3 linked regions of the Nothobranchius furzeri genome follow. The protein of the gene in region 3 purifies or fractionates together with the protein of the main gene of each other region. This does not show direct contact. Links are inferred from orthologs where the notes say so. Each region holds a gene or a part of one and is shown on either strand. Other genes may lie near its edges. The genes, in order: claspin, rfc5 and rad9a.

Region 1 (4,069 bases), on a different chromosome or scaffold from region 3:
TTAGGTAGGTTTTCTTATTTGAGTTGTCACACTGAGCTCTATTTGGTGTTTTATTGGATTCAATTAAAGATCCTGAACACCCTGAAGTTAAGGAGCCTACCTTGGTCTGAGTCAGAGACTGGGATGGCATGGATTCTGGAAAAACAAGAGAATCTAAAATGCAGACAAAAACAGCATTATGACAAGACCACAAGGGCACTTAGACTGCTTACAAAGGATGATGTGGTGAGAGGCCAAGATCAAAATGCATGGAGCAGAAACGCCATTGTTCCTCAGTAAGCTGACCCAAGATCATATGAAGTAAGACCTGAAGGTCGTAAACTCAGAAGGTACCGTCATAATCTGCTGAAGAGCAAAGACGCCTTTTAGGAGGAACAATGTGGTGAGAAGGCAAGCTGTTGTGGCTCAAGCAGAGATGGTGCCTGCCATAGGAGGACATGAAAAGCAGAGGAAAGTGATGTCTCTCCAGGACCTGTGTTGAGGAGGTCAGCGTACCACCAGAAACCAGTCGGGGTTCATCTATTGTCGTATTTCTATGTTGAGCGTACTGCAGAGAGAGGGGTGAGATTCTTCTAACGCACGGTCGTGCACTCGAGCCTGCGCACGTGCCCAAGTGCACTTACAGAAGACCCGGAGACCGCAGATTCAGGCTTGTACTGTTTTGAGACAGCGACCTCTAAAGGATCAACGTGTAACTGCAACTGCAGATTCAAGCTTAACCGTTATTTATAAATAATATGTAATTGTCGGTGAAGCTTATTAAAATAGTTTATTCGTTGTTAACGCTTCAGTGAAGTAGTTCTCAGAATACAAATTTGAAAATTCCTGAGTAAATTTTAATAATAAAAGCTTTTATCATATTTATTTAATTGAAGTTGTTTGTAGAAACAAAAATAAAAAACTTTCCGATCGTACTCCATCTTGGAACGCTAGCTAACAGTGGGCGGCGCTGTCTCAAAAACAGTACAAGCCTGAATCCTGTGGGGCGCAGCAAACTTAGCCGCCCGCCTGCGCAGCGCTGGTGGATGTTTTAATTCCTCCACTAACTGTGTCGTCACACTGGGCGGATACCTCCGTCACAGATGGTCCAATAGCAGGGCGAGAAGCGCTGGACTGACAGCTCGCTGGTGAAAGACCGCGGGCCAGCTGTCACGGCGCGCGAAAGTGTAAACTTTGTGTTCGGTGAGCGGGTGAGGCGGGAGGAAGCGGAGCTGTCCGGTAAAACGCGGCCTAGCTGTTCGGTAAGGAGCTGCAGTAGAGTTCTTTTCACGGACACGTTGTTCTCGGTGTCGGTAGCGGCTGTAGCCGTTAGAGGAGCGGACGGAGCCTCGTCCCTGCCGGGAGCGGGCGGACCAACCGGAGCACAAAGATGAGCCTTGTCCTGTCTCACCTGCAGGTAAAGACGCTAGCAGGCGGCGTCAGTGGAAGGTGTACAGACAGGTACATGTGAGACAGGTGTGTGTTCAGCGTGCTGGAGGGAAACGTCACCAACAAGGTGCTAAGGTGCTGTTAGCCGCTTAGCTGCTAACACCGAGGAATCGGTTCTTCCGTTCACCTCGTTCTAATTCGGTAGAGCTCCGTTAAAAAGTCACATCAAACAGTCCGAAGGTCCGGTAGCCGTTACCGGACAGCTGGGCGTTCGGTCCGACACGGTTATCCAGCTGTGACGTTGATTCATTGTTTTACTGACCGAAGGCGCCATGAATCCGGCTAGCAGCTGGTCTGGGATCAGCTAGTCCGCCTTGACCCAGACCGTGTTTCTGATCAGGACTGGTCCCAGACCAGTGTCTCTCTGTGGCCCGGAAACCAGTCCGAACCAGGTCAAACGGCTCTGGTGTGAGAGGTGGAACAGCTACGGGTTCTAGACCCGGTTCTCACACACACACACACACACGCACACACACACACACACACACACACACACACACACACACACACACACACACACACACACACACACACACACAGGCTCTGAAGTCTGTCTCTCTTCAGACTGAGGCGTTGGCCCGAGCAGCACCACAGAGCCACTGGGACAGCGGGATGGGTCCTCCTGCAGAGGAGGAGGTCCCAGAGACGTCTGATAGAGGAGATGAGTGTCCAGGTGAGACAGACCTGCTGCAGGACGCTCGTGGACAATCAGGAGAAACCGTGGTCCCCTAAATCAGTTTTTCTCTCAGATTCAGATGATGACATCACAGTTCACAGGAAGCCTCGGCGTAACGCCATCAGAGACAGTGACAGTGAGGAAGAGGAGGCACCAAGACGCCTGGAGCTGTCTGAAGAAGCGGTACCTGCCTCTAGTGAGGACGAAGAGAGGAGGAATAAAGGAGGACAGAGGAGCAACAGAAAGGCTCGTGCATCTGATGGTAGCGATGGAGAGCACGAGGAAGAGGAGGAGAATAAAAGAGAGAAGAGTCAAAGGCATCGAAAGAAGAAAGAAAAACGCAGCAAAGTGGTGGAAAGCCTGAAAAGGAGAAGGAGGTCTGGTGGAGGAGAGGAGGTGAGTTCCGTCTGAAATTTTCATCCAAATAAATCCAGAAATCTTAAAAATAAACTGGTCACCTTTTGCTCTTTCCATCAGGACGTTCCTCTTCCTCCAGCGCTGAACGACAGCGGCTGTCCTCTGGGTGATCCAGAGCTGTTTAGCACCGGTCTGGAGGAGGAGGAGGAGGAGGAGTCTCTGGACGCCATCAGAGCTGCGGTCAGACAGAAAGTGAAGAAACACAAAGTAAGAACAAGATGTTTACGTCACTCTGACCCTAACTCCGCTCGTGTTCTGGATGAGAAGAGTCCGGACGTGTTTCAGGAGGAAGTTTTGACTAAACTTGTTAAATGTGACTGTAGGACCCCCTCCTGGAGGAAGAGGAGGAGGATGAAGAGGTCCCAGAGAAGCCCCAGCGAGCGGTAGGATACAGCACCACGTTAGACCAGGTAGACGACTCGGACTGAAGGTAGAATAAACTGATTGTCTCTGGGGGCTCCAGGAACGGAAAGCAGCTCGAGCCAGCAAGGAGGCGATGAAGCAGCTTCACAGTGAGAGCCAGAGGCTGGTCCGAGGTCAGTTCCCCTGGCTCTGCTCTGCTTTAGCTGCAGGGGTTTGATCTGCAACACGCTAAACGTTTCTCTGCGTCTGTAGAGTCGACGCTTGGGTTGCCATACCACATCCCTGAACCCAAAACCATCGAGCAGTTCTTCAAGAGGAGGACCCGGCCGGAGGGATCGGCCATGGCGCTGCTGAAGTAAACAGTAACAACTAGTAGCCCTGCGTTGGCGCGGCCCTGGGTTGGGTCGACGCGGCCCTGGGTTGGGTTGGGTCGACTCGGCCCTGGGTTGGGTTGGGTTGACGCGGCCCTGGGTTGGGTTGGGTTGACGCGGCCCTGGGTTGGGTTGGGTCGACGCGGCCCTGGGTTGGGTTGGGTCGACGCGGCCCTGGGTTGGGTCGACGCGGCCCTGGGTTGGGTTGGGTCGACGCGGCCCTGGGTTGGGTCGACGCGGCCCTGGGTTGGGTTGGGTCGACGCGGCCCTGGGTTGGGTTGGGTCGACGCGGCCCTGGGTTGGGTCGACGCGGCCCTGGGTTGGGTCGACGCGGCCCTGGGTTGGGTTGGGTCGACGCGGCCCTGGGTTGGGTCGACGCGGCCCTGGGTTGGGTCGACGCGGCCCTGGGTTGGGTCGACGCGGCCCTGGGTTGGGTTGGGTCGACACGGCCCTGGGTTGAGTCGATGCGGCCCTGGGTTGGGTCGACGCGGCCCTGGGTTGGGTTGGGTCGACGCGGCCCTGGGTTGGGTTGGGTCGACGCGGCCCTGGGTTGGGTTGGGTCGACGCGGCCCTGGGTTGGGTTGACGCGGCCCTGGGTTGGGTTGACGCGGCCCTGGGTTGGGTTGGGTCGACGCGGCCCTGGGTTGGGTTGGGTCGACGCGGCCCTGGGTTGGGTTGGGTCGACGCGGCCCTGGGTTGGGTCGACGCGGCCCTGGGTTGGGTTGACGCGGCCCTGGGTTGTGTTGGGTCAACGCGGCCCTGGGTTGGGTTGGGTCGACGCGGCCCTGGGTTGGGTCGACGTGGCCCTGGGTTG
Region 2 (3,610 bases), on a different chromosome or scaffold from region 3:
ACTGTGAGGAAGATAAAAAGTAAAATATATGAATGGAAATCATCACAAAACTAAAATATTAGGTGAACAGAAATGACAAGTTACAGTGAAGCCATTTTCAAACAACTGCATTGGTATCGGTTAACCTTTACCGATACTGGTATTGGTGCCGATACCAGTATCGTATCGGTGCATCCCTACCTGGAAGTGTTAAGTCGCCACAGCGTTCATCATCACATCAGTAGAGGGGTAAACTGGTGCTCTCTCTGGGATTTCAGAGCACCAGCATGGCGTACGGGAAGGTCACGGAGGACACGGTGTACACCTGTACGGGCCAGCCCCTTCGCTCAGACATCGCCAACATCCTGGACTGGTGCCTCAACAAAGACTTCAACACTGCTTACAACCGTATCCTTCACCACCACCTAATGTGTGGTGGTAGGGCTGCACAATATGTCGTAAATATATCGTTATCGCGATATCTGCATGCACGATATGCATATTGCAAAGAACAGATAAATATCGCAATGGTCAGCTCAAATGTTTGCTACACATGATGCGTTCTGTCAGATGGAGGCATGATGTTTTCTTAACAAATAAAAGAGCTTTTCACCCGTTTGGCCAGTCGGGTGGGTTCTCATGCGTTGGAGGCCCGCCCCCGAGGCGGACGGCACTTAATTTTGATGGTTGGCAAACGCCTGAGTCAGCTTAGTTCTGCTGATTTAGCCTTTCCCGGGATCCACCGATCGCCTTTTCTTTTTCCCTTTCCTCGCATCTTTTGCTTTTCTCATTTTTATGACTTTTTTTATTTCTTTGTTTTTGATTATTTTAGTTCCTGAGTTAAGTTTTTATTTATTGCAAATAGAGGTGCTGAAAAAAATCGATTCAAGTCTGAATCGGGATTCTTGTTTATAAAGATTCAGAATCGATCCACAAAGGTTCAGAATTGATTCCAAGAACTGAAATACTGAAACTGAAACTGGATGACCCGGTTCCGGTTGAGTGAACGCTGGCGCGTCTCGCTGCCGCTGCTCGCTGGCAAACAAACTTTTTGTATTTTTTTTTTCTTCTTTTTCACCCTGGTCACATCCCTGTGTCGGTGAAAACTCATTTTCACCTACCTGTTCAGCTTGCGTTCTGGTTGCACATCACCACCTCCCTGCTCCACTCCATAATGAGGTCCAGCAGGATTTCTGTGTGCCTCGCACTGGCCTGGATCATCCTGTCGCTCATTCTTCTGTCCGTGGATGGCCTTCTCCAGTACTCGGCGGCGGAGCTCTTCAACCTCCGCTTTCGCTACTCCGGATCTCCACCACCAGCTCTGTGCCTCTTCCCCGACATCACCTTCCAGCCTCGCCGTCGGTATATCCATCGGGGGTCCCGGCGGAACCTCCATCTCGACGGCTCCAAAGGAATACCCTCCTTCTGGTCCACGACTAGCCGGCGGCTACCCAGGAATACCTGCCGAGCTGCCGACTCCAGCGTGTTAGCCCGGCTGGCTAGTCGGACTAATGCTCCTGTCGCCAGGGACTTCCGCACTGCTAATTTTGGTCTTCTCAACATTCGCTCCCTCTCTGGTAAAGGACATCTCCTCCAAGATACCATCAGTGACCATAAGCTAGACTTTCTTTGTCTGAACGAAACATGGCAACAACCCAGCGATTTCTCACAACTCAATGACTGTACTCCTCCCGGATTTGTTTACCTCTCCAAACCCCGTGGGTCGGGCCGCGGCGGTGGTCTCGCGATACTGTATCGCGAGACTTGGAAGGTCCTTCCCGTAAACCTTCCTCCTCTCACCACTCTGGAATGCCTCGCCTGTCAACTCTCCGGCCCGACCCCCACAATAATTGTCACTGTTTATCGTCCCCCCAAGTTCAGCCCTGAGTTTTTAAATGAACTCTCTGCTCTTTTATCCCATCTGTCCGCCCTTTCCCCAAATGTAATTTTACTTGGTGATTTTAATATTCATATGGACAATATGGCCCTCCCCCTCAGCAAAGACTTCTCCTCATCTTTGGACAGCCTCAGTTTTCATCAATATGCCAATTTTCCCACTCACATTAAAGGTCACACCCTGGATTTAATCTGCTGCTCCGGCCTGACCCCCTCCAACTGCACAGCTGACCCGCTCCCTTTCACGGACCACTTCCTCATCTCCTTTTCTGTTCCCCTCCGTCTCTCCATCATCAAGTCACCACGTATCATTTCTTTTCGTAATATTAAGGACATTGATCTAGCCTCCCTGTCCTCCAGTTTTGCCACCCTGACCCCTAATTTGTCCTCTACTCCCGATGATCTTGTCATTCAGTACAATAACGGTCTGGTTTCTATCCTTAATTCATTTGCTCCCATCAAATCCCGCTCTGTATATTTTACTCGGTCTGCTCCATGGTTCACCCCTGCCCTTCGCTCCTTGAAAGCTACCAACCGGAGGCTTGAAAGACTCTACAAGAAAACCGGTCTCACCATCCATAAAGACTTATATTCTGCTCAGATTTCTCTCTACAAGGACTCCATCTCCCATGCCAAATCTCAGTATTACTCCGGTCTCATCTCGTCCAACTCCAGCAACACTAAAACATTATTTTCCATCATGAACAGCATTTTTCAGCCTCCCGACTCCTTACCCATCCATCTTTACTCTTCAGAAACCTGTAACTCTCTCCTTCAGTTTTTTAATGAGAAGGTCAATAGAATCCATCTCTCTTTACCTCATTCCTCCCCTCCCTCTCCTGATTTATTTGAACCCACCATTCCGTTCTCCTCCTTTGAACTTCCCCATCCCTCAGAAATATTAGATTACATCACCAAATCCAAACCTTCCACCTGTCAACTGGACCCTATTCCAACTGTTTTAGTTAAATCCTGCCTTTCTTCTCTGCTCCCTTTTATAACAGCCATTATTCATTCCTCACTATCCTCTGGTACGGTCCCATCCCTATTCAAATCCGCTTCAGTCAGCCCTATTCTAAAAAAACCTGGTTTAGATCCCAATGATTTCAATAACCTCCGTCCCATTTCCCATCTTCCCTTCATTTCCAAAGTCCTTGAGAAAACTGTTGCATCTCAGCTCCATTCACATCTCACCCGCAATAACCTTTATGAACAGTTTCAGTCTGGCTTCCGTCCCCACCACAGCACAGAAACAGCACTTATTAAGATCACTAACGACCTACTCATTGCTGCTGATTCTGGTTTAATCTCTATTCTTATTCTCCTCGATCTGAGTGCGGCCTTTGACACCATTTCTCATCCCATCCTCCTTAATAGACTCTATTCCTTAGGCATCACTCACACCCCCCTCCGCTGGTTTCAATCTTACATTACTGGCCGCACTCAGTTCATCCAGTTAAAATCCTTTACCTCAGAACCCTCCCCAGTCAAGTCAGGTGTGCCCCAGGGCTCTGTCCTGGGGCCCCTCCTCTTCATAGTATATCTCCTCCCTATCGGCAAAATCTTCCGCAAATTCAATATCCAGTTTCACTGCTTTGCAGATGACACCCAGCTCTACATTTCCAGTAAGCCCAACTCAACTCTCCCACCATCCTCCCTTACACTCTGCCTCTCTGAAATCAAATCATGGTTCACCTCTAATTTCCTCAAACTCAACGGCAATAAAACTGAACTT
Region 3 (4,371 bases):
AATGAGCTGAAGCTCTGGGCTGGGAGAGAAAAGTAAAAATCTTGCCACCTGCTTCGTCCTCCACATGGTTCCTGACCCACATCCGTTCATCGCTCACTGTCACAGTCACTTCTTCCACAGATAAAGGGAAGTGAACAACTGTGTCCACCAGCAACCTACCAACAAAGAAAACAGAAATAAATTCTTCATAGTATATTTAACTAAACAAAATGCCACTTTGTTTTTAATTACACGGTTAAAAATGACAGAGATTAGTCTTTAAAAGCAGCATTATGAACATTAAGTCTAAGAAATCCAACAGAAAGAGCATAAATGCTTCATTTAAAAGTCCACAGACAGATGTTACAGACCTGGGATGGGCTCTGAATACATTGGCATAGCTATCTTTATCAAACACTGCCTGTAAGCTCTCACTGTCCTGGTAAGACAGGTTATGTGTCTTCAGGAGACCTGCAGAGAAACAAACCCTTAGAGGTCTAAATGACACACCGTAGAATAAAATGTAATGAATTCAGAGCAATTAGTCAGAAATGTGTCAGAATAAACGTGTTGTAGCTGAGGTGCAGGAGGGGCTCTGTTACCGTGTTTGCAGTGCAGCGTGAAAGTCAAGCGGTCCTTTGCTTCATCAAGCTCTATGTGACACTTTTCTACAGTTTTCTCCAAAGTCGCCACAGATCTGAACACAGTCTGCACACTCTGATTCACACACAGGGAAAAACATCTATTTAACAGAGACAGCACCATGTCCATGTTAACGTGCAGCAGAAATGAGGATTAATTAGAAGATCGTGAAGTTCTAAACTGCCTTTTGACTTTCAGAACATTTTCATAAGAAAAGTAACCCGTTTTACTCTGTAAGTCTGTCTGCAACCATCAGGAGGAAGTTTAGAGGTTTTGCAACTAATAAAAAAAAATTCACACAGGTAACCACAACAAGCCTCTGGTAGCAACACAACAGGGAAGATGACATTTGTAAATGAGCACGACAAAACTTCTAACTTCATTCAACTCATTCCGGTTCAGCAGCGAGTTAGTTACTCATAACTATAACTAACTTTGGACTGTTTGTTAAAACAACAGGTCCTTTAGCCAGGAGGTGAGCCTGAGGGCTGTAAAGGTCAGAACATTTGTAATGAATACATCTAATGACCAGACTTATACTAATGTAGCAGAACAGCTAAAAGTCACAAAAATAATTCAGCTCTAAGCTTGAGTTCCCAAACTGAAGCAGAAGTAACAATATTACATATCTACCCTGTACTCAAGAGCATGCTGGCTTCTTTACAAAATATATAGATTTATTTGTTTGACTAACACCTTTTTAAATGACATCTTTAGAATTTTGAACATTGAATATTTGTAATTTATAAATTGCCAGTTGTTCAAAAATAACCTTATGAGGCTTTACTAATCCCAAATCTACCCCCAGTAAAAGCTCAGGAGGAAAAAATCTGGTCAAACAGAGCAGAGTCAAACCACGTAGCACCATCGTTATCCAAATACTACTACTACTAAACTTTATTTATATAGCGCCTTCACATGGCCCAAGGACCAAACAAAGCACTGCACAGCAGAAATAAACATTAAAAAATAAAAACATATAAAACCATTTAAAAACCAACAAAAACATGCAGATAAAATCTAGGTGGGGCAGCAAAAAGTGCAAAGCCAACCAAATGGTTGTCTTAAAGCAAGCATACAACAGCTAAACCGTCTGCAGTGATAGAACACTATGGGACCTAAAATTTGAAATCATCCATTAGTTTTTTAAATTGCTTCCAATTAGTCAGATGTCCTTGTGACCATTAAAAGTGATTTTATGTGACAGTTAAAGCTCTGTGAGCATCTTTCAGAGATTTTCTTTGGACTTTGGCTGCTTATTTACTAATTTCCACCCCAGTCTCTGTCATTTTTAAACAAATGTTTATCCCATTACTGCATGTTGATGTGGAAGAACTCAATTTTCTATTTTACTGCCTCTTCTCACACAAATAACTTTACAATTCAGACTCTAAACAGCTTCTATTCTCACACCTTTATTGCCATCTTGCAGCGGAAGTTGACCTCTTTACGGATGTTGTACCTGCATGAGAAATGAGATGGCCTTTAAGTTCTCCCATGAATGTGCTGTTCACTGACCCAATCTAAATTCCACACAGAGAGGGGAGAGTCTGCACCTGCTGAAGAAGAGCGGTGCGAACAGGAAGCATGCGTACGCCGACCGAGAAGAGTTCACGGACCGCAGGGCCAGCTACGAGAGAGAGAGAAAAACAACAAATTCAGCACTGTTCATTGACGCAAAGTGTGCACCAACAGGAAGCAACCAGACTACATGCACGGCAGGAAGTGTCGGTTTATCAAAGCATCAGTTCAGCTCACCCCGTCACCCTGCGGCTCCACGTACAACTCGTCTCCGATCCTGGACAGGGAGTGGATGGCTTTGGCCAGCACTGGACGGTACACACACACATACACACACACACGCACGCACAGCCACACAGTTAATGTCAACGATTCATTATTTTCGCTGTCAAACCAACCGACACGGTTCGCTACCTTTCACGTTTCCTCCAGTCACCACACACTGCATTTCTACTAACTTTTCCGTTAAGTTAGCAAATCAAGAAAAATGTTAGACAAAACTAGCATCCACCACCGCGAAGAAAAACGGTTAGGGTTTAATGAAGTGTCCAGGGAACACGAGTCTTCCTGTCAAAAACATTGTTTTCTTCTTATTTTGTAACAAAAAAAAATATATATATATATTTTATCAGCGGTAACTTCGGCTCAACCCCATCCTTCTTGCCTCTTGTTTACGCCGCCATAACCCATTTCCGCATTATGGACCAATCAGGGAGAGGGAAGAACCGAAACGAACGTGGGTTCTGTAAGCGCATGCGCAATCCGTTTACACACGTTTACTGATTTTTTTTTTTGAAAATAAAACGATGTTTATGTGTAATTTAACTATCTAAATATATAAGCCATTATATTAAAATAATTGTTTATAATGAGGGAACATATTAGTTACGTATTTAATAATATTTTTTAATGACTAATAAAAAAGCAACATTAGTTAATTCCTGTGTTTATGTTTTTTAACATATTTATAAACATAAACCAATGACCTAGCCGACTCGTTCCTTTCTTTTTTTAAATGTTGACTTAGACAACAAGCAACTCAAAGTTTATCTGGATTCTTCTTGTTTTATACCTCAGAGTCTATCAGAAGAATTAAATCTGAACGTACTGTATGTCTCAAAACAGGCTGGGCCAACCAATCACAGCATTACAAAGAAGATGAATGATTTAGTTCAGAGAATTTAGAAGGAACAGGTTATTCCAAATATGCTTTCTTATTTGTTTCATTTTGAAGAAGCATGCTATTAATAGCTGTAATTAGCAGAGTAGACTCAGTGTTGAGAAAGAGGGTGTACAGGTCCTTCTAAAAAAATTAGCATATTGTGATAAAGTTCATTATCGTCTGTAATGTACTGATAAACATTAGACTTTCATATATATTAGATTCATTACACACACAACTGAAGTAGTTCAAGCATTTTATTGTTTCTAATATTGATGATTGCATACAGCTCATGAAAACCCAAAATTCCTATCCCAAAAATTTTGCATATTTCATCCAACCAACAAAAGAAAAGTGTTTTTAATACAAAAAAAGTCAACCTTCAAATTATTATGTTCAGTTATGCACTCAATACTTGGTCGGGAATCCGTTTGCAGAAATGACTGCTTCAGTGTGGGGGGGCATGGAGGCAATCAGCCTGTGGCACTGCTGTGTCATGTTCTGAGGAAGGTGTCTAACCCAAGACATGCAGAATCAACCCAGGAGACAGTATAATGAAAAATAATATTTTTATTCGTGGATAACGGTAACTGAGGGCGCACTGGGAATTCCAGTGGACAGGGGAAACGCAGTGTTGGGGTAAAATGAGTTCAGCGAGTGAGGGGATGGGTAACGAGCCGGGGGTATCCAGGTGTGCGGTTCCAGAGCTGGAGAGGGAGCGGGTAGTCGTTGGAGAGCGGGTTGGTCAGAGGTGAATGGATGACGTGGCGTGTGAGCAGAGCAGAGTCCTATTAAGCGTGGTGAGGGAATAATCCAGAGACGAGGAGAACCTGAGGTCAGAGATCCAAGAGACGTAAAGTCACAAAAGTCCCAGGAAAAGGTACACATAATAATGTTCACAAAAACCAAGAGCCAAGTACGAGGGCTGGAAACTACCAGTCAGTAGCAATCATCCGGCGTCGAGTAGTGTCACCTTCCTCCTTAAGAAGTCAACCTGCTGATTAGCTGATCAGGTGCAGCTGCCGCTCCCTCTCCTGCAAGACACAACTCAGAGATCTCATGTAGAG

What was found.
Region 1: the proteins of rad9a (region 3) and claspin purify together in Homo sapiens (affinity purification with western blotting; 3 studies listed by BioGRID and IntAct, with this or other methods). This does not show direct contact. The link is inferred for Nothobranchius furzeri from reciprocal best matches to the Homo sapiens genes RAD9A and CLSPN.
Region 2: the proteins of rad9a (region 3) and rfc5 purify together in Homo sapiens (affinity purification with mass spectrometry; 3 studies listed by BioGRID and IntAct, with this or other methods). This does not show direct contact. The link is inferred for Nothobranchius furzeri from reciprocal best matches to the Homo sapiens genes RAD9A and RFC5.

The regions. Positions count from the first base shown.
Region 1 is NC_091759.1:26,753,884-26,757,952, forward strand, and holds the start of claspin, read left to right. Parts: upstream 1-1,234; 5' UTR 1,235-1,369; coding exon 1,370-1,396; intron 1,397-1,992; coding exon 1,993-2,101; intron 2,102-2,177; coding exon 2,178-2,500; intron 2,501-2,581; coding exon 2,582-2,728; intron 2,729-2,844; coding exon 2,845-2,904; intron 2,905-2,984; coding exon 2,985-3,057; intron 3,058-3,136; coding exon 3,137-3,239; intron 3,240-4,069.
Region 2 is NC_091750.1:34,481,198-34,484,807, forward strand, and holds part of rfc5 (replication factor C subunit 5), read left to right. Parts: intron 1-257; coding exon 258-387; intron 388-3,610. UniProt on the Homo sapiens protein: Subunit of the replication factor C (RFC) complex which acts during elongation of primed DNA templates by DNA polymerases delta and epsilon, and is necessary for ATP-dependent loading of proliferating cell nuclear antigen (PCNA) onto primed DNA.
Region 3 is NC_091741.1:91,717,531-91,721,901, reverse strand, and holds the start of rad9a (cell cycle checkpoint control protein RAD9A), read right to left. Parts: upstream 2,819-4,371; 5' UTR 2,591-2,818; coding exon 2,557-2,590; intron 2,458-2,556; exon of another isoform or gene 2,451-2,457; coding exon 2,380-2,450; exon of another isoform or gene 2,356-2,379; intron 2,252-2,355; coding exon 2,178-2,251; intron 2,084-2,177; coding exon 2,035-2,083; intron 697-2,034; coding exon 582-696; intron 451-581; coding exon 351-450; intron 156-350; coding exon 49-155; intron 1-48. UniProt on the Homo sapiens protein: Component of the 9-1-1 cell-cycle checkpoint response complex that plays a major role in DNA repair. The 9-1-1 complex is recruited to DNA lesion upon damage by the RAD17-replication factor C (RFC) clamp loader complex.